Linked DNA regions of Saccharomyces cerevisiae S288C. The gene in region 3 interacts genetically with the main gene of each other region. Each region holds a gene or a part of one and is shown on either strand. Other genes may lie near its edges. The genes, in order: SOM1, TFB5 and TDA3.

Region 1 (7,919 bases), on a different chromosome or scaffold from region 3:
TTCGTGCTCATATTTAGCGGTAATCCTTATATTTGACCTAGGAGCAGGTAGAGAGGACTGATACTCCTCTCCTGCTTCTTCTTGTGGGTCTTCATTACTAAGAATTTCCTTTGGTAGATTAATTTCTGCGAATTTCAAATAGTTTTCTTCTTCACCAGAAGTGTGCGTACCGATGATTAATTCTTGTTTAATAAAGCCACCATCTAATTCTTGAACAGGAGTAGGGAGCCATTGGACGGTTAAAGATGGCCATGTTAAACGTGTCTCGCTAACAAAGTCATACATTAATGGAACATTGGATTTCCATAAATCGTACTCCTCGTCTACAGAAAGCGGTTTCTCTTGGTTTTCCATAGTTGATTGGTAATTTGCTATTTGGTGACTACTAGGCTAACCACAATTGATAGGAGAGATAAGAGAGGCAGAAGTATTAGAGGCATAGTAACGTCTTTCTAGTTATTCTCCATTATTATTTTCAAGGTTTGTCTTTGTCATGTCGACGAATGCCAGTGAAAACATCCGTACACCTCACAAATTGTTATTTTGAACAGAACAGACGAGCTACTCATCAAGTATCAAATAGACTGAACAAATGACCTAATCTTTCTAGATTACTCCAAAAGAAAAAGCTGAAAGGAAACCGGTTAAAAACATGAAAGCTTTCTGTAGGGAAGTTTTTTCCTCGCTCTGCTCCTGAGCCTACAGGAGCATGGAAATGGTTGAAAGGACCGAGGAAGAAAGGGAGCATGTCAAATAGAACAAGAGGAAAAAAAAGGTGAAAACAGCTATTTTAAGCAGCAGAAGTTTGAGTCAGAAATGCCTACAATATATGAGAATTTCTTCGCACATGGTTTAAAAAAACTAAATAATCCGCGTGATAACGTTCTCACCAGATTATGAAATCAAATAACAATGCCCCACCTGTATATTGCGATTGACGTAAACGGTAATAAATGTAAAATTTAACATAAAAAAGGGTAAAGAAAACAAACTTTTTCAGGGGTCATCCCTTTTTGTTTTCTTTTTCATTCTTATAAATCAAGAGTATTTTATCGGTAGACAGTTTAGCCGCCGATTTTGTACCGCAGTCCAATATTAGTAAATGTTGGGCACCACTTTGAACATACCGACTCATTGAGACTGCAAGAGCAATTATTTTATATTCTTCTTGAGGCGCCGTTAAAGAGAGAATGAACACGACAATTATCTACAGCATGCAATCGTGGTCAGAATTCTAACTTTTTGTCTTATAAATGCGCACGTATTATTTTCATTTATGTATATATAGATAAATCAGAGCATTGAGTAGTAAAACTGAAGGCTCAAGAGTTCTGATACGCGATGAGAATTCGTGCAGTTAGGATGTCAATTTTGCCAAAATTGGGACGGGCGGCTGCCGTCCGGGGATTCCATGAAGAGAGTGGAAAAAAAAGTGTCACTAACTTCCCACAGGTATCCCCGACACCCTATCCTGCGCTAAGAAAGCCAATCGGCTGAATGTGCAATTGATTGACGTTGAAGGAAAAGAAAAAAAGGAGAAAATTGGGGCGATAATAACAATCACAAACGTCTTCCACTTTTTATCAAATGTTGCGGGAAGAAATAAGGGTAAAATGCCTTGTGTAGGTTCATACATATATAAATAAGTAAGGAAGTTAAAAGAAACCCTTCAAAATGTAACCTACATCATGCGTAGGCTTAATATTAAGCGGAGAAAATCGGCAAGCCCAAGCTTATATTCATATTATGGAATACAAAAGGCGAAAAAGAAAATTGACTAGTAACTAAATTGAAAATTAAATGGCAAATGATGGGATTCAGAGGAATGACAACAGAAAGGGTTTTAAAACTGTACAGTTCTCGGCTTATTCTAAAGAAATTGACGTCATAATGAAAAAAATATCATTCTTGGAAAGAAACATTACCCAACAACTAGATACTCTTCCTCATTTTCCAAAAACCTTACCACCAAATCACAAAGATTGTGTAAGTAGAAAGCACAGGGCCAGGCGAGGTTGGAGTAGTCAGCTGAAAAACTTGCTAGGCATTTACTCCAAAGAGGAAATTTTTACTCTGGATAATTTAGCTGCAACACTGCATGATCAAGTTTTAAAGTTACAAGCTACACTTTTTCCCAATGCCATACTGAAACAGGTTCATCTCGACAATGCCAACATAGAAAACAAGAGAATTCTGAAGGAAATTACATATAAATACCTTTCCAACGAAAACTGTAAAGAGGAGAACAAATTCGGAACATTCATCGTAAAGAGAATTTTTTTTGGTGACTTATCACTCGGGGTTTCCGTGTTAATCAACCGTATTGCTTTCGAATCGGCCACATCATCCATTATGGTAGTGAGAAGTTCATTTATTGAAAGTGATTTCTTTTATGAAGATTATTTGATTTTCGATTGCAGAGCGAAACGACGAAAAAAATTGAAGAGGAAAATTTTGTTTATTTCCACTACCATGAATTTCAATTACCAAACCAAAGTCTAAGCCTGTAACAAACGTTGATTGATACCAATATTTTTTCTCTTTCATTTATCTCTCTGTATATCTAAATAGCTATACTATACATCGAATAATGCTTTCAAGCAGATGCCTTAACGTGCTCCACCACTTCGTCACAAAATTGACCTAACTTAGAGGAGTCCTTACATTCCGCATAAACCCTCACCGCATCCTCCGTACCACTGGCTCTGACAAAGCTTCTTCCCATGGGATACTTGGCTACCACAAGATCTATCTTGTCTTGCAACCCCACTGGATTGAGCAATTTTCTTTCCTGGTCCGTGGTTTGGAAAATTGACCTATCAGGAACGATGCACTTAACCAGCTTGTTGGGCAAATCAGTATACTCTTCATCCCAATCCATTGGCGACATTTTCAAAATCGCCAAAGTAGCAAGGACAGCAAGCATGTCTGAAATAGCATCTCCCACGGTCTGATTAATCAATTCAGAGAAACACTTCAAAGTTCTCAAAGCTAACGTATCACCATTTAACTTGGACTTGGATAATTCAGATTTGATAGTTCGATGAAATTTTTCGCTGAATATAATCGTACCATGTCCATTTGCTTCGAAATAAATGCCAATATCGTACTGAGTGGCAGCTTCATGATGCAAGTGTTTAACACCTGTCTTAGTGCAAGACACGGGACAGTGCAACGTATTTTTTATGTAAGCGGTGGAACTGCCGTTTGCATAGGCAGTTTGCACAACACCAATCTTCAAAGAATGTTCTAGGTGTGCCAATTCTAGTTGTTTAGACAAGAACTTTGCAAACAAAGTGGAAATTTTGTCACCATCCAACAAATGAAATTTTGATCCTGAGTCGACATAGTAGAACACAACCCTGTCTGCGTCACCATCAAAGGAGCAATATAGCGAATCAAACGAGGATGGAGAAAGACCCTTGGGTAATCTCTGGTTAGTCTTCACATAATCCGCACCGCATTCAAAATTCAACAGTTCTGGAACATCGGACCTGTCGTTGATTACCTCAACTTGCTCCGCTGGCACGTCCCAATCTTCGGAGGCCAGTAGTTTTTTCAACTGTGGACCACCGATACCATTGGCTGTGTCTATGAACAATTTTGGGACAGACAGCCTCTTCTCCAGCTGATACGTGGCGAAGAGCTCGTTGAAGGCTCCTATAAAGAACGAATAGTAGTCCTGTTCTGTGGCAACTGGCGCTGTGTCTCCTTCCAGTTTCCGCCTGTTGGACAAATCAGTAATGTAATGCAATTGAGGCGTAGTGACACAGCCTAGGTCCAAAACTTGCGCGTGGAAGACGCTGGCCATGGAGGAAGTCAAGCAGCGCAGCAAGTATGGACTACTTTCCCTAGAGTCTCTCCCAACCACGATGTGAGGCACGACGGTTGTATTCAAATCAATCTTTTCGTGTTCAATCAGCTTGGCCAACTCAACACGAAATTCTTCAAAATTAGTGGCAAAAGAGGCCGCATTGGCCAACTGCATGGCATATGGCTCCCATGTGGCCAAAAGCATCGATCCGTCTGGTTCCACGATCTTGACCCCGTTGTCCTGGTATGGGTTGTGCGACGCCGTGATCATCACCCCCACATACTGACCCTGAAGCTTCAGCGACCTGAGAACCGCCAGTATACCAGTACTGAACATCACCGTATCCAAATTCTTGGCCAGCGTTCTGAATCCGGCCGTACCGTAACTGAACTGCACATTCTTTGTGCGGCACGTGTCATCGTAGAGTTTGCACAATTGCTCGTAATCAACCTTCATCGTCTCTAAGCTTACTGCTGACCTTTGCCTTGGTCCTTGTACTTGTCTCGATTGCTGAAACCATTAACGGTTTTTTGTTCTTACTTAATCTTTTTTTTCCCGACGACGCAAAATGTCAGAAAAGATATAAATAGAGCAACGTTTCCTGCTACATGAAACACGCTGGCATATAGAAGAACTTCAACGAGCGAGGCTCTCTGAACAATCTGCTAATCGTGCAAGTAAGGGTTCTCGTGACAGTTCACCGTGTATAAACAGATAAACAGATAAACAGTCAGATATGCTTAATTTTTAACTGTAGGCTGTGCCGACATGCCATTTTATGCGGCTCACTTCTAACAAAAGTGACCATGACGCACAAGCAAGCAAACAGCCAAGTAAGGAAGCAGACAGCTTCACAGCACACACACACCGTTGTGTACGAAAATCCTCTGCAGAAGAGTGTATATGCCACTCATCCACACTTCCGCAGCGCAGTACGTAATGCGGTATCGTGAAAGCGAAAAAAAAACTAACAGTAGATAAGACAGATAGACAGATAGAGATGGACGAGAAACAGGGGGGGAGAAAAGGGGAAAAGAGAAGGAAAGAAAGACTCATCTATCGCAGATAAGACAATCAACCCTCATGGCGCCTCCAACCACCATCCGCACTAGGGACCAAGCGCTCGCACCGTTAGCAACGCTTGACTCACAAACCAACTGCCGGCTGAAAGAGCTTGTGCAATGGGAGTGCCAATTCAAAGGAGCCGAATACGTCTGCTCGCCTTTTAAGAGGCTTTTTGAACACTGCATTGCACCCGACAAATCAGCCACTAACTACGAGGTCACGGACACATATACCAATAGTTAAAAATTACATATACTCTATATAGCACAGTAGTGTGATAAATAAAAAATTTTGCCAAGACTTTTTTAAACTGCACCCGACAGATCAGGTCTGTGCCTACTATGCACTTATGCCCGGGGTCCCGGGAGGAGAAAAAACGAGGGCTGGGAAATGTCCGTGGACTTTAAACGCTCCGGGTTAGCAGAGTAGCAGGGCTTTCGGCTTTGGAAATTTAGGTGACTTGTTGAAAAAGCAAAATTTGGGCTCAGTAATGCCACTGCAGTGGCTTATCACGCCAGGACTGCGGGAGTGGCGGGGGCAAACACACCCGCGATAAAGAGCGCGATGAATATAAAAGGGGGCCAATGTTACGTCCCGTTATATTGGAGTTCTTCCCATACAAACTTAAGAGTCCAATTAGCTTCATCGCCAATAAAAAAACAAACTAAACCTAATTCTAACAAGCAAAGATGAAGTTAGAAAATACTCTATTTACACTCGGTGCCCTAGGGAGCATCTCTGCTGCTTTGGTCATCCCAAATCTTGAAAATGCCGCCGACCACCACGAACTGATTAACAAGGAAGATCACCACGAGAGACCCAGAAAAGTGGAATTCACTAAGGACGATGATGAGGAGCCATCTGACTCTGAAGATAAAGAACATGGAAAGTTCCATAAGAAGGGCCGCAAGGGCCAAGACAAGGAGTCTCCGGAATTCAACGGTAAACGTGCAAGTGGCTCTCATGGGAGCGCCCACGAGGGAGGAAAGGGCATGAAGCCTAAGCATGAAAGTTCCAATGATGATGATAATGATGATAAGAAGAAGAAGCCTCACCATAAGGGTGGCTGCCACGAAAATAAGGTGGAGGAGAAGAAGATGAAAGGTAAGAAAGTCAAGGGCAAGAAGCACCACGAAAAGACGTTGGAGAAAGGGAGGCACCACAACAGGCTGGCTCCTCTCGTGTCCACTGCACAATTCAACCCAGACGCGATCTCCAAGATCATCCCCAACCGCTACATTATAGTCTTCAAGAGAGGTGCCCCTCAAGAAGAGATCGATTTCCACAAGGAAAACGTCCAGCAGGCACAACTTCAATCCGTAGAGAACTTATCTGCCGAAGACGCTTTCTTCATTTCTACTAAAGACACCTCCTTGTCCACCTCTGAGGCTGGCGGTATCCAGGACTCATTCAACATCGATAATCTTTTCTCCGGTTACATCGGTTACTTCACCCAAGAGATTGTCGACTTGATACGTCAAAACCCATTAGTAGACTTTGTTGAGAGAGACTCTATTGTCGAGGCTACAGAATTTGACACTCAAAATAGCGCCCCATGGGGGTTGGCCCGTATTTCCCACAGAGAGCGCCTCAACCTGGGGTCCTTCAACAAGTATCTCTACGATGATGATGCCGGTCGCGGTGTCACGTCCTATGTTATTGACACGGGTGTCAACATCAACCACAAGGACTTCGAAAAGAGAGCCATTTGGGGGAAAACCATCCCACTTAACGACGAAGATCTCGACGGTAACGGCCACGGTACCCACTGTGCCGGTACTATCGCTTCCAAACACTACGGTGTCGCTAAAAATGCCAACGTTGTTGCGGTGAAAGTCTTGAGATCAAACGGGTCTGGTACCATGTCTGATGTCGTCAAAGGTGTCGAATATGCCGCAAAGGCGCACCAAAAAGAAGCCCAAGAAAAGAAAAAGGGGTTCAAAGGTTCCACAGCCAATATGTCGCTTGGTGGTGGCAAGTCCCCAGCTTTGGACTTGGCTGTTAATGCAGCCGTTGAAGTCGGTATTCACTTTGCCGTGGCTGCTGGTAACGAAAACCAAGACGCTTGTAATACCTCCCCAGCTTCTGCTGACAAGGCCATCACCGTCGGAGCTTCCACGTTGAGCGATGACAGAGCCTACTTTTCCAACTGGGGTAAGTGTGTCGACGTTTTCGCCCCAGGTTTAAACATTTTGTCCACCTACATTGGAAGTGATGACGCCACCGCCACTTTATCGGGTACCTCAATGGCTTCCCCTCACGTTGCTGGTTTGTTGACCTACTTTTTGTCTTTGCAACCAGGTTCTGATAGTGAATTTTTCGAATTGGGCCAGGATTCTTTGACTCCTCAGCAATTGAAAAAGAAGCTAATTCATTACAGTACAAAGGACATTTTGTTCGATATCCCTGAAGACACTCCAAATGTTTTAATCTACAACGGTGGTGGTCAAGATTTGTCCGCTTTCTGGAATGATACCAAAAAGTCCCATTCATCTGGTTTCAAGCAAGAATTGAACATGGATGAATTCATTGGATCAAAGACCGATTTAATCTTTGATCAAGTGAGAGATATTCTTGATAAATTGAATATTATTTAATTCTTCATTTAGAAAAATTTCAGCTGCTTTTTTTTTTCTTTTTCTTTCCTTAGGCGTCTCGAGGTTACAAGTCGGAGTCCCTCTTCACTATCGTTTGTCCACTTTTTTTATATCCCCATTATTTTCAATCTGAATTTCATTTTTTTTTTTTAATTCATGAAATTTATATGTCCCACGTATTACTACATATTTGCGTTTTTAATTAAATAAATAACTGTTACTTTTATTATATCTTATTTGCAGATCACTTATCTGATCAAATGTTTTCGTTTTCGTGTGTGGTGACGATGTATTAGGTACGCGAAATAAACAAAACAAACAAACAAGGCCGCAACAATAACATCATCTAAAGACTTCCTTTGTGACCCGCTTCTCAACAGCGGGTGTAGAACTTATGGTATGGCCAGAAAGTAACGTTGAGTATAGATACAGAAGCAAGCAAT
Region 2 (2,669 bases), on a different chromosome or scaffold from region 3:
AATTTCAACCCTATACTAAACCTCTCTTCTGATCCAATTACATATTTACCGATTTTCCAAGCTTTATAATATTGCTTTCTTTCCATAAACCAATCGAAATGATCCTTCAATGATAACTCTTGAACCCTGATGGCATCGTTGGAACTTATCAAATAGTATTCTGGTGTTGTTTTATCTATATGTTTACCGAGGTGATAATCATTTATAGACAATTTTTCATAGTTTTTCATGATAACTTCATCATTATAGATTTCATCACCATTAAAAAGATCAACAATTTTTAATTCTGGAGCATTCCCTTTGGCTAATAAGTTTTCTGGCCGCTTGCTAAAATTCTTCCCCTCCTTCATATCTTCATCTATGGTTGCTTCCTCTTCAATATCTATATCAAAACCTAGGCATAATAACTGATCATCCTTAAACGATGCAAGCCCTGTAATCAACATTGACACAGTAAAATGGCATTCTAATTCAACTTTCTTATCAGGTGTCCCTCTAAAACTCGATGCAGCACTAGACAAGAGAGATCCGATGTTTGTCGTAGGGTTAAAATGACTCATATTATTACTTTGAGAATTAGAGTCACCGGATTTGATCGAATTTGAATCCTTGGTAAAGGAAACTTTAAATAGCCAAATATTAGATCCCCATCCGATAACGACACGATCACTTTCTAAAAAATGAACATGGGGTCTAAATAGATCTGGCCTTACATCCTGTACGTTAAAAATTCTGGAGGGGAATGGAATATTCAAAAGCTGTGATCTTGTAGGAACATCGCAAAATGTTATTCCATCATCATCCATCCATAATATAAGGTCACCCATAGTATAAATTCCCATGATAGGGCCCTTCATATCAGAGGATAGGTCATCTTTTCTTGTTTTTTTCTTTTTCTTCTTGTTTAAAACGATGTCGATTCTATTTCCTAGCCAATTTCTCTGAGATAGTACAACGTCGCCAGCCATTCCACCAGAAACAAACATTCTGGATGCTTGAAAATTTGAGTGCAACGCTACAGAGTTTATAGGTCTTTTGAAATCGTATTGTGTAATGTTTTGTGGATCATCCATCGATCCGATAATCACTGTCCCGTCAATAGATCCCGTAGCAAAATATTTTCCGTCAGTGTTAATACAAAGTATCGAAGATCTATGGCATTTGATGGTTTTAATGGGTTCGAACGCGCATGTAGTTAAGTGTAGAATGCCTGAGTGTGTACCAAATGCAAAAAAAGTATCACCAAATAAACATGAAGAGATCGAGTCTCGTTGAAAAAAGTTCTTCGGGAGTTGACTAATTCGTGTGTACTTCAATAAGGGGGGCTCATCTTCGTCATCCTCATCTTCATCATCGTCATCATCATCATCATCATCATCATCACCTGTTTCTGCATCCGTCGCACTTCCTGTTATTGTACTCTCATCTGTTCGAGAAGCTACTCCATTTTCCGCTTGTGATATGCAACTAACACTTTTTGTTGGTGAAGTTACATTAACGTCTTCCCTCTTATTATCAACATTATTCTCGTCAGAGATGGAATTACTCTCATCAATTGTTCGTTCGCCTGATTGTTGATCCAAAACAGAATCATTCTGATGATTATCTGTAGTCATTAATGTCTAATAGTAGGTATATACTCTTCGTTAAAATGCTTTTTTATTTTGCATATATATTTTACAACAGTCTCAATAGCCCTTTTAATTTTTCTTTTGTATCGTATTATTGAAAAAAGACGAGCAAACTGCAGTAAGATAGAAGTGTACTCCCAATAGAGACAAAGCCAAGATACTTTTGTAAAAGAACGAAAAAATGGCTAGAGCAAGAAAGGGTGCACTGGTTCAATGTGATCCATCCATCAAGGCGCTCATATTACAAATTGACGCCAAGATGAGTGATATAGTACTAGAGGAGTTGGATGACACCCATCTTTTAGTAAATCCCTCGAAAGTCGAATTTGTTAAGCATGAGCTAAATAGGCTATTATCTAAGAATATATATAATCCTATGGATGAAGAAGAAAATCAGTAATTATTGCTCATTCAGCTTTTTCAATACTATTTGAATAGAGCATGACCTGCATAACCAGGTCAGACATGAATATAGAGGGGAAGTGATGATCTAGTGGAAATACGACTATACAGGTATGTACATGTTAGAATAATAAATATAAGGAAGAAAAAGTGGTCAGGTGCAAGTATACATCTTTAACCGTTTTCTTTTCTCATCCTTTTTTGAGAGCCAAATCCCGTTTAATTTTTTCTTTTTCCTCCTCAAGGTCTAAACCAAACTCCTCTTGTATCTTTTTCTCCAACCTAAGCCTTTTCTCTAAACGTTCTTTTTTCATCCTTGCCAGTTCAGCTTTAATCTCATAAGGCTCTTTTGGTATTTGGTTCAACGTTGCAGGATCTGGCCAAAACCCTGGAACATTTAATTTTTTATCAGTATCTGTACCAATATAGTACATTACAGCAACAGGTGCTAGCAAACAAAATGAAAATCTAAAGATCTCCAGTTGCGCCCTTGTATATTTAAACTTGAAGTTATTAAATAGACCCATTTTGTACTTGTCGAAGTGATTACTTTTGTTTGTCAGCCCTTATTAAATTGTTATAGAACAGAAAATATCAGCAAGATGCGCTGATATATTGGAATTATACGGGAAAAAA
Region 3 (9,557 bases):
GATTCGTTTTGTCGTTAAGGTTGAAAACACCAGCAAACAATTTTTTTGAAGAAAAACCCCATTTGCGTATACTTATATGTAGATATATTTTATTAATATTTAATCATTGTTTACATACATTAAATATACATATGTTGATATTACTAATAATTTTTTGATTTTTGGTTGACCATAATGCAATTCTCTTAAAATCTCAACTTAGAGAAGAACCATTGGTTCTTACCAGCTTGGTGTCTTTCTTCGAAAGCCTTCTTGACGACTTTCTTAGCTTCTTCACGTTGGGAAGGTTGTTCGAAAGTTTCAGTAGAAACAACGGATTTGAAAGCTTCAACATCTAAAGTGTATCTGGTTGGCAATAAATGGTTGTAGTTGACGACCTTGATGAAAGGCTTGATCTTGGTTCTCTTAGCAACCTTCTTGGCACCGTGCTTCTTGGTGACCTTCAATGGGTATCTTTCAATACCGGCAACCAAAGCGTGACCAAATGGGTGAGACTTGGAACCTTCATCATGTGGTTTAACGATAACAACCTTCTTACCGGCGTAACGACCACGGACAACGACAGCTGTGTAAAAAAAGGAAGGAAAAGAAATAGTTAGTAAATGTGAACCCTTCTTAAAGTTTGGCGAATTCTCAATTTTGTTCTTCAATACTAGGGAGAGAAAAATTATCATAGGCCCACGAATTTTTAATAGGGCATGGAAAGAACTACAGTAAATAAAAGGCCCTGGTCGCCTGCGTACATGTGCCTATGGTCTTAGCAAATATATCGCGGAACTTTCACCATCTTATTTGGTGGCTATTGATGCTTTTTTCTTTTAAATTACAACTTTTTGATAACCCTTCCACTGCCTCGTATAGCTCAATGAATATGAATAATCGTTAGTTTCGCTCCTAAATCATTCATCTTTTTGTCCAATATTTCTATTAATAAGCTATCATTCAAATTTAAAGGTTTTTTCCCAGATCTAACATCTCCACGCTTTTTCCTCCCTACTCCCATATGAAGATACAATACTCGAATTCAAACTCAAATTATACAACATCAACTGCTAATAACTTGGATTTCTAATACCACAGTTGCACGGTTTTTTGTTGATGTCCAAAAACTGAAAATGATACGTACCAACTTTACCAGCTTTCAAGAACTTAGCCATTTTTTTCTTTGGTTATGCTTTTGTTTTAACACGTTGAGACTATCTAAGAAATTCTAAAAATCTAATATATCTTTAATTTTAGCTCAAAACTACGGCAGTATGTTTTACATGAACGAACACTTTACTAGTGAAAAGAATTTCAGGAAACCTGCCTTCGGGCGAATCTCTGCAGCAAGAGCGTAGGCGGAGCTCTGCTGGAAAGACTTTGTCTCAGACAGTTCTGTCGTGATGGGAGAACTGAGCGGATCACTCCCATTAGTTTGAGAGGAACTTCTCTCCGCAGCCTTGATTCTGCCTCGGGACTCCACCTGGAATATTGTTATCGGCTCTTTCAAGAAATACAGGACTCATAAGGTGAAAAAAAAAAAAACAGTGTAGGTGCAACAGCAAAAAATGTAAAGATGTAGGTGTACGGATGCATTAACGTCTTTCGAGGCCCTTTCCATTCTTCCGTGAAAAATATTCACTGAACGTATAATATGAGACGGTTCCGTCCGAGTCCCCTTAGCTGGAATCGTGTAAGCCAATTTATCAATACATGCAGCCTTGGTGCTTTTGTGCGTCTATCCCCTACATGCATAAGATTACGTATGAATGAAAAAAGCACGACATAGAAGTGAAACCATATCTGTAACCTGGCACACGTACTACAAAAGTTATATTGTTCCTTTTTTTTTTTTTTTTTTTTCTATTGTTAAATCAAGACTTAAAAAAAATCAGCCAACAAGTAATTCTGTTTGATAGTTCAAGTCACTCAGCAAAAGATTTTCGTGCTCTCCAATACACCATCTAAGTATCAATAGCATTTTAACCAAGCAACAGAAGGAATAGTGTTTATAAATGGGTGAAGATTTTATGCACCCACCGTTTCAAACGTACCCTTCAAAGAACAGCGAAGGGAAAAAACATATTGTCATTGTAGGTGGCGGTATCATCGGTTGCTGTACTGCTTACTACTTGACCCAGCATCCAAGTTTCAGCCCTTCGACGCATCATATTACCATCATTGAATCGAGGCGCATTGCTGGAGGGGCTTCTGGTAAAGCAGGTGGCTTGCTTGCATCTTGGGCTTTCCCTCACCAAATCGTACCTTTAAGTTTCCAGCTACATCAGGAGTTGAGTGATGAATATGATGGAGAAAACAACTGGGACTACAGAAGATTGACGACTGTGTCCTTAGAAGCAGATGTTCGCGAAGAAGTCATTGAAAACTACGAAAGACTGAGCAAGAAGGCATATAATCTGAATGTCCCTCCTCCAAAGAAGAGACCGGGCTACATATCCAACAAGTTTAACATCGGGGACTCTAATTCATCTTTGAGTTCTTCGGGCTCTTCTTTGAAAAACGACTCCGCTAGTAACGAGGAAGAAGGATCAGACATTCATGTTTCTAGCTCAGTACCCAGTTTACACTCTCTAACAAATGAGCGCATGAGAAGCCACACAAATAGCGCATCTGATCTTGACTCTGTAAGTCCCGTGGAGCAACTGAGAGAGACTAATATCCATAATCCTTTGCCTGCTGATTTAGATTGGATAAGAAGAGAATTGGTTAATGATTGGTCATCACTAGGTGGTACTGATACCACAGCGCAGCTTCATCCCTATAAATTCACCCATTTCATCTTATCGAAGGCAATGGAAACAGGTGCTGTCGATCTTCTCCTAGGTAAGGTAGTTGGGCTAAAGTGTGACGAGATGGATTGTGTTCATTCTCTTAAGTACCTTCCATCTGTCGTCAAGAATCGCAGAAATAGCAGAGGGCATGCAGAAAATCCAGACATTAAGCTGGGTACAATCTTCAACGATGAGAACGCGAAGCCCATTGAAATCAATGACATCCAGCAGATTGTTTTGAGTATGGGACCCTGGACTTCCAAGATTCTAAAAGATTGTCCAATTTCTGGATTGAGAGCCCACTCTGTCACCATTAAGCCTAGTGAAAAGACAGTTTCACCTTACGCTATTCTTGCTGAACTAAAAGTTAACGACCGTGAATTTTTCTCCCCTGAAATGTATGCTAGAAAAGATGAAGTTTATGTGTGCGGCGAAGGCGACACTTTAGTCAATATACCTGAAAGTTCGGACGATGTGGAGGTAGTTTCGGAGAAGTGTGATGAATTGTACCATTACGTATCCAAATTATCGCCAACTCTATCAAAGGGCCATCTCTTGCGGAAACAAGCCTGTTTTTTGCCAGTTTTAAACGTTCCTACAAGTTCTGGTCCCTTAATTGGTGAGACAAATGTCAAGGATCTTTATATTGCAAGTGGACATTCTTGTTGGGGTATTAACAATGCGCCAGCAACAGGTAAATTAATGGCTGAGATTCTCCTTGATGGCGAAGCAACCTCTGCGGAAATCTCAAGTTTGGATCCAAAGTTATATTTCGACGCCACCATCCTTTCTTAATCAAGCCGAGGAGTAAAAAGGTCAAGAAAAGTATATGCACAAATTTGTACATATAAGAGCTTATTTATTTATATATTTAAAATTTCTGAGGCCATTTAATGTGTATATATTTAACGAATACCTAAATCTATATATTTCTTTTTTTTTTTTCTCTCTCTCTCTCTCTTTCTCTTTCTCTCTTGGCGTCTATCCTGTTTGCCCTTGCGCATGCTACCGATTGCACGTGTAGTATTCTACTTGAGGTTGAGCTGATTACTAATTGCTATTATCATTGTTGGCGCGACCTTAAACCTGGACCAATAACACAGGCCGAACCACTAGCTTCGCAAAAAAAAAAGTAGGGATGTGCCGAAAAATTTCCGCGACCGTAGCAGACACCCCTGATGAAGAAGCTATAACTTGTATATAAGAGCGTTGCATCCCCAAAATATACAAGCTAGCTACAGCGATTGCTTTTCACTTGCTGCTACAGGAACGAAACCCCAATTGATAACTATACCTCCTAAAAACGTACCAGGATGTTCGCGAAAACAGCAGCTGCTAATTTAACCAAGAAGGGTGGTTTGTCATTGCTCTCCACCACAGCAAGGAGAACCAAAGTCACCTTGCCAGACTTGAAGTGGGACTTCGGTGCATTGGAACCTTATATCTCCGGTCAAATCAACGAATTGCATTACACCAAGCACCATCAAACTTATGTGAACGGATTCAACACTGCTGTTGACCAATTCCAAGAACTCTCAGATCTTCTGGCCAAGGAGCCCTCTCCCGCAAACGCAAGAAAAATGATTGCTATCCAACAAAACATCAAGTTCCATGGCGGTGGTTTCACAAACCACTGTCTATTCTGGGAAAACCTGGCTCCAGAGTCGCAGGGCGGTGGTGAACCACCCACCGGCGCTTTGGCAAAGGCAATCGACGAGCAGTTTGGCAGTCTGGACGAGCTGATTAAGTTGACCAACACAAAGCTAGCAGGCGTGCAGGGCTCCGGATGGGCCTTCATTGTGAAAAACCTCTCTAATGGAGGCAAGCTGGACGTTGTTCAAACCTACAACCAGGATACCGTCACAGGCCCACTAGTTCCTCTAGTTGCCATTGACGCCTGGGAACACGCCTACTACTTGCAGTACCAAAACAAGAAAGCCGACTACTTCAAAGCCATTTGGAATGTGGTCAACTGGAAAGAAGCATCCAGAAGATTCGATGCTGGCAAGATCTGAAGAAAGAAAGAAAGAAAATACCTTTTTTTTTCCACTGTGTCGTTTTTATTCTAACTACTCTACTAAATCACACAACCACACTCCCCTATTTAATAATATATTTTACTATTAAAATACATATACATGCATCGTAAAAAAAGAAAAAAAGAAAAGAAAAGAACCGAAAAAGACAATACAACCAACCTTCCTCCACTTTTTCTTTTTCCTTGTTCTCTCTCGCTTCCTACGTTACTCGCGCCTGTGCACTACATTCCCACCAGATTAACTCACCACCAGGCAGAGAACCAATTGTTCTTGTTATTGTTCCAACCGATAATTGTAAAGCCATTAAGGTCGTAAACGACTGCTTACTCAGGGAGATCTCCGAAAACGGCAATTGCTGTGCACCGTGCGACGTTATGATCGCCGCCTGTCCCGTACAGACGAACAATTGCAACAATGGGCGGTTGTTTAGAGAGGTTTTGTGCCGCGCCCGGGAATTACCGGGGGCACAGCAAAATACGAAATTTCCGGCAAAATGTCTCTGTACGAAAATGAGGCCAGCCTTTATTCCCGACTAAGCCGTACGATTATAGTAATGTCACACGAAGTGGATACTATACGAGCAGCGCACATACAATGTGCGTGCAAGATTTGCCGGGTTGGACAATCTTAAAGGCCGATAATCCACGAAAAACGAGACAAACGAAGCGCTGGCCCTAAACGAAACGAAACGAAACTAAGATTTCAAGATAATCGCTTTTCAGATGACAATAGTCTCTTGCAGAACACAATAAGTGTGGTAGGTATCTTGCAGGAGACATCGATTTTATGCCTGAATTTTTTTTTTTTCTTGGTATGAGCACATCCTATTGTGCATCTCCACGAGTTAACGACGTTTACGTACTCGCATGTATTCGAAAAGCCTCTAAAAATTGCCCTCCATGTGTATTCATTATATAAGATAGCGTATTTTCCCTTAGTTTTCTTATTCCCTCTTAATTCTCTCTTTCAATGTCTTTTTTTTTTTCCCTTTTCCTTTTTCCCTTTTCGTTATTGGTAAATTATTTATAAAAAGATTGATAAGCAGTATCGTTCAGCGTGTGTATTTTCGATAGGAAGTAATAATTTTTCATTATATTAATTAATAGTTTCCAGAAAAAATTTTTTTTCCTTCACAATTGCAGCAGGCTTGAATAGAAACAGAACAAACGAGTAATACAAGGATGTCTGCTACCAAGTCAATCGTTGGAGAGGCATTGGAATACGTAAACATTGGTTTAAGTCATTTCTTGGCTTTACCATTGGCCCAAAGAATCTCTTTGATCATAATAATTCCTTTCATTTACAATATTGTATGGCAATTACTATATTCTTTGAGAAAGGACCGTCCACCTCTAGTGTTTTACTGGATTCCATGGGTCGGTAGTGCTGTTGTGTACGGTATGAAGCCATACGAGTTTTTCGAAGAATGTCAAAAGAAATACGGTGATATTTTTTCATTCGTTTTGTTAGGAAGAGTCATGACTGTGTATTTAGGACCAAAGGGTCACGAATTTGTCTTCAACGCTAAGTTGGCAGATGTTTCAGCAGAAGCTGCTTACGCTCATTTGACTACTCCAGTTTTCGGTAAAGGTGTTATTTACGATTGTCCAAATTCTAGATTGATGGAGCAAAAGAAGTTTGTTAAGGGTGCTCTAACCAAAGAAGCCTTCAAGAGCTACGTTCCATTGATTGCTGAAGAAGTGTACAAGTACTTCAGAGACTCCAAAAACTTCCGTTTGAATGAAAGAACTACTGGTACTATTGACGTGATGGTTACTCAACCTGAAATGACTATTTTCACCGCTTCAAGATCATTATTGGGTAAGGAAATGAGAGCAAAATTGGATACCGATTTTGCTTACTTGTACAGTGATTTGGATAAGGGTTTCACTCCAATCAACTTCGTCTTCCCTAACTTACCATTGGAACACTATAGAAAGAGAGATCACGCTCAAAAGGCTATCTCCGGTACTTACATGTCTTTGATTAAGGAAAGAAGAAAGAACAACGACATTCAAGACAGAGATTTGATCGATTCCTTGATGAAGAACTCTACCTACAAGGATGGTGTGAAGATGACTGATCAAGAAATCGCTAACTTGTTAATTGGTGTCTTAATGGGTGGTCAACATACTTCTGCTGCCACTTCTGCTTGGATTTTGTTGCACTTGGCTGAAAGACCAGATGTCCAACAAGAATTGTACGAAGAACAAATGCGTGTTTTGGATGGTGGTAAGAAGGAATTGACCTACGATTTATTACAAGAAATGCCATTGTTGAACCAAACTATTAAGGAAACTCTAAGAATGCACCATCCATTGCACTCTTTGTTCCGTAAGGTTATGAAAGATATGCACGTTCCAAACACTTCTTATGTCATCCCAGCAGGTTATCACGTTTTGGTTTCTCCAGGTTACACTCATTTAAGAGACGAATACTTCCCTAATGCTCACCAATTCAACATTCACCGTTGGAACAAAGATTCTGCCTCCTCTTATTCCGTCGGTGAAGAAGTCGATTACGGTTTCGGTGCCATTTCTAAGGGTGTCAGCTCTCCATACTTACCTTTCGGTGGTGGTAGACACAGATGTATCGGTGAACACTTTGCTTACTGTCAGCTAGGTGTTCTAATGTCCATTTTTATCAGAACATTAAAATGGCATTACCCAGAGGGTAAGACCGTTCCACCTCCTGACTTTACATCTATGGTTACTCTTCCAACCGGTCCAGCCAAGATCATCTGGGAAAAGAGAAATCCAGAACAAAAGATCTAAGGTTTGTAACTGAGAAAAAAAAAAAAAACAGAAAAAGAGAGAAGTTGTACATTCACGTGGGCCTTATCGCCACACTCATCCATCTCCAATGATTTATTTTATTTGCCAGTACGTTTGATATGACATCGAGTTATGTTCTTTAGTTACTTTCAAACTTGGACAACCATCCCGCATTATTTATGAGTGGTATGGTTTCACTTCTTTATTTATAAATATTTATACTACGAAATTATATATAGATTACATTTCTAAAACAACATCAAATATAAGGTTTATTTATGCAACATGCCTACTGGATTAGAAGAGAGAACACACAGCTCACAGGCCAAGCGGAAATAAAGCAGTCTTTTCGCAAACTTGTAAATCTTTTTGCAATTTAAATTAATCAAGAGAGGGCCCAGGAGGAGAGGAGTTTTGGGGAGGGGTCACTGAGGAAGCTCTCTTAAATATGGATTCACTGAAATAAATGTATATAAGATTCATTACTGCTTTTTATAGTGATAAATCCAAATGATGAGTGAATTGAACCATCCTTAGTATCCATTGTTTTATAAAGCACCGCTAAAAATAATATATTGCTACAAAAATGATATAATAATAATATTACGTAAAATACCTGAAACCGCCATAAAAATAATACCTGAATTAACCTTAAAATTCTATCCCATAAGCTTTTTTGTAAAGGGCCAGATAATCTTGAGTCTCCTTCAAATGATTCTCACCCAGAAGTTCAAAGTCCATTTGCTTCTGTAACATCTCATTAATGGAAATCATATTGCTTTCCTTTGACTGATTGATTGCGTCCTCCTCGGTTTTGTCTGGCTCCAACAACGATTGCTCTGAATCCAATGGGTATGACTTATTTGTTTCTGTAGTTGTTATTGGATCGCCTGAAAGTGGAGATAGCGCTGAGGAGGCAGAGGATAATGCTGGAGAATCCATATGCAATGTGTATCTTGATGATTGATACTCTTGTGGTACAGAAGATGCATTTTGGGGTGACAAAATTGGGGGAGATATTATTGACCACTCTTTGAGATTTTGGACTTCTGTAGGTCCTCTTGATTGTGTAGTTTGTGTAGGTCTTGATATTTGTTTGCGTTCAAACCATTGAGTGCCTATTCCAAAATCGTTTTTTTCGGTTTTGGTTGGTATGATCTTGTCATTAGGGCGTTCCTTGGACTGCATTACTGTCGCTTCTATACAATTCTTATTTTGTAAAGCTGGTTCGGAAACACTTTCGTCGGATGAGATGAACCTTGTTTGGCCATCCGAAGTCTTTATCATTTTCATTTTAGACGTCTTTTTCTTCTCTCGTATTCCCTCTGAATAGCCTTCTGGTAAACCTTTGCAACTCCCAGCCTCAATGTGGTTTTCCACCCAGCTCTCACTAGTGCTAAAGTGTTCCCCACATTGAGTGCACACTCCAGGTGATTTATTACGGTCCTGAGGCTTAACACCTTCTGGGTAAGTGAAATGTCTAGATTTCAAATGTGTTTTGTAGGTATCTCTTCTGCTAAACCCCCCAGAAGTATGGCATCGCAATTCTTGCGAAATGCTATTATCAAAAAATGGACAGTGATAGGCCTTCCTTTTCGCATGCTTTTTTATGTGTCGTGTTAAGTAACCTCTGATTCGGAACCTAGCATCGCAATAGTGACATATATATGGTAAAGTTTCGGATGACTCATCAGCAATTCCTTGAACCTCATCGGATAGGGGAGATTCATCAATACTTTTCTTCGATGCAGGAGTGATTACGCTACTTACGGGCGTGATTGGAAGGAAATTAGAGGGGAAAAGAGCTTTGTACTGGTCATTATTGATATAGGATTCCTCTAGCGGGGGAGAACTTATCAAGTCATTCTGTAACTTTGCTGGCTCGCCGCGGCTAGGGCCCCGTAAAATCGGTTCGTCCAAGTTCAACTGTGTAGTGACTGCACCATTATTATCAATTTTAATTGAGAAAG

What was found.
Region 1: mutations in TDA3 (region 3) and SOM1 together harm fitness less than expected from each alone (positive genetic interaction), as found in Saccharomyces cerevisiae (one large-scale study listed by BioGRID).
Region 2: mutations in TDA3 (region 3) and TFB5 together harm fitness more than expected from each alone (negative genetic interaction), as found in Saccharomyces cerevisiae (one large-scale study listed by BioGRID).

What each region holds. Positions count from the first base shown.
Region 1 is NC_001137.3:39,603-47,521, reverse strand, and holds SOM1 (Som1p), read left to right. Parts: upstream 1-4,897; coding exon 4,898-5,122; downstream 5,123-7,919. Other genes in the region: HAT2 (Hat2p), read right to left, coding at 1-354; SDD1 (Sdd1p), read left to right, coding at 1,801-2,502; phosphoacetylglucosamine mutase PCM1, read right to left, coding at 2,597-4,270; HHY1 (Hhy1p), read right to left, coding at 4,562-4,870; PRB1 (proteinase B), read left to right, coding at 5,569-7,476. UniProt on the Saccharomyces cerevisiae protein: Non-catalytic component of the mitochondrial inner membrane peptidase (IMP) complex. IMP catalyzes the removal of signal peptides required for the targeting of proteins from the mitochondrial matrix, across the inner membrane, into the inter-membrane space.
Region 2 is NC_001136.10:602,955-605,623, reverse strand, and holds TFB5 (TFIIH complex subunit TFB5), read left to right. Parts: upstream 1-1,812; coding exon 1,813-2,031; downstream 2,032-2,669. Other genes in the region: VPS41 (Vps41p), read right to left, coding at 1-1,616; PET100 (Pet100p), read right to left, coding at 2,225-2,560. UniProt on the Saccharomyces cerevisiae protein: Component of the general transcription and DNA repair factor IIH (TFIIH) core complex, which is involved in general and transcription-coupled nucleotide excision repair (NER) of damaged DNA and, when complexed to TFIIK, in RNA transcription by RNA polymerase II.
Region 3 is NC_001140.6:118,121-127,677, reverse strand, and holds TDA3 (Tda3p), read left to right. Parts: upstream 1-1,997; coding exon 1,998-3,569; downstream 3,570-9,557. Other genes in the region: 60S ribosomal protein eL27 RPL27A, read right to left, coding at 186-565, 1,127-1,157; superoxide dismutase SOD2, read left to right, coding at 4,088-4,789; YHR007C-A (uncharacterized protein), read left to right, coding at 4,913-5,128; ERG11 (sterol 14-demethylase), read left to right, coding at 5,995-7,587; STP2 (Stp2p), read right to left, coding at 8,239-9,557. UniProt on the Saccharomyces cerevisiae protein: Putative oxidoreductase that negatively regulates the retrieval of cargo from late endosomes to the Golgi. Regulates YIF1 and KEX2 localization. Required for fast DNA replication.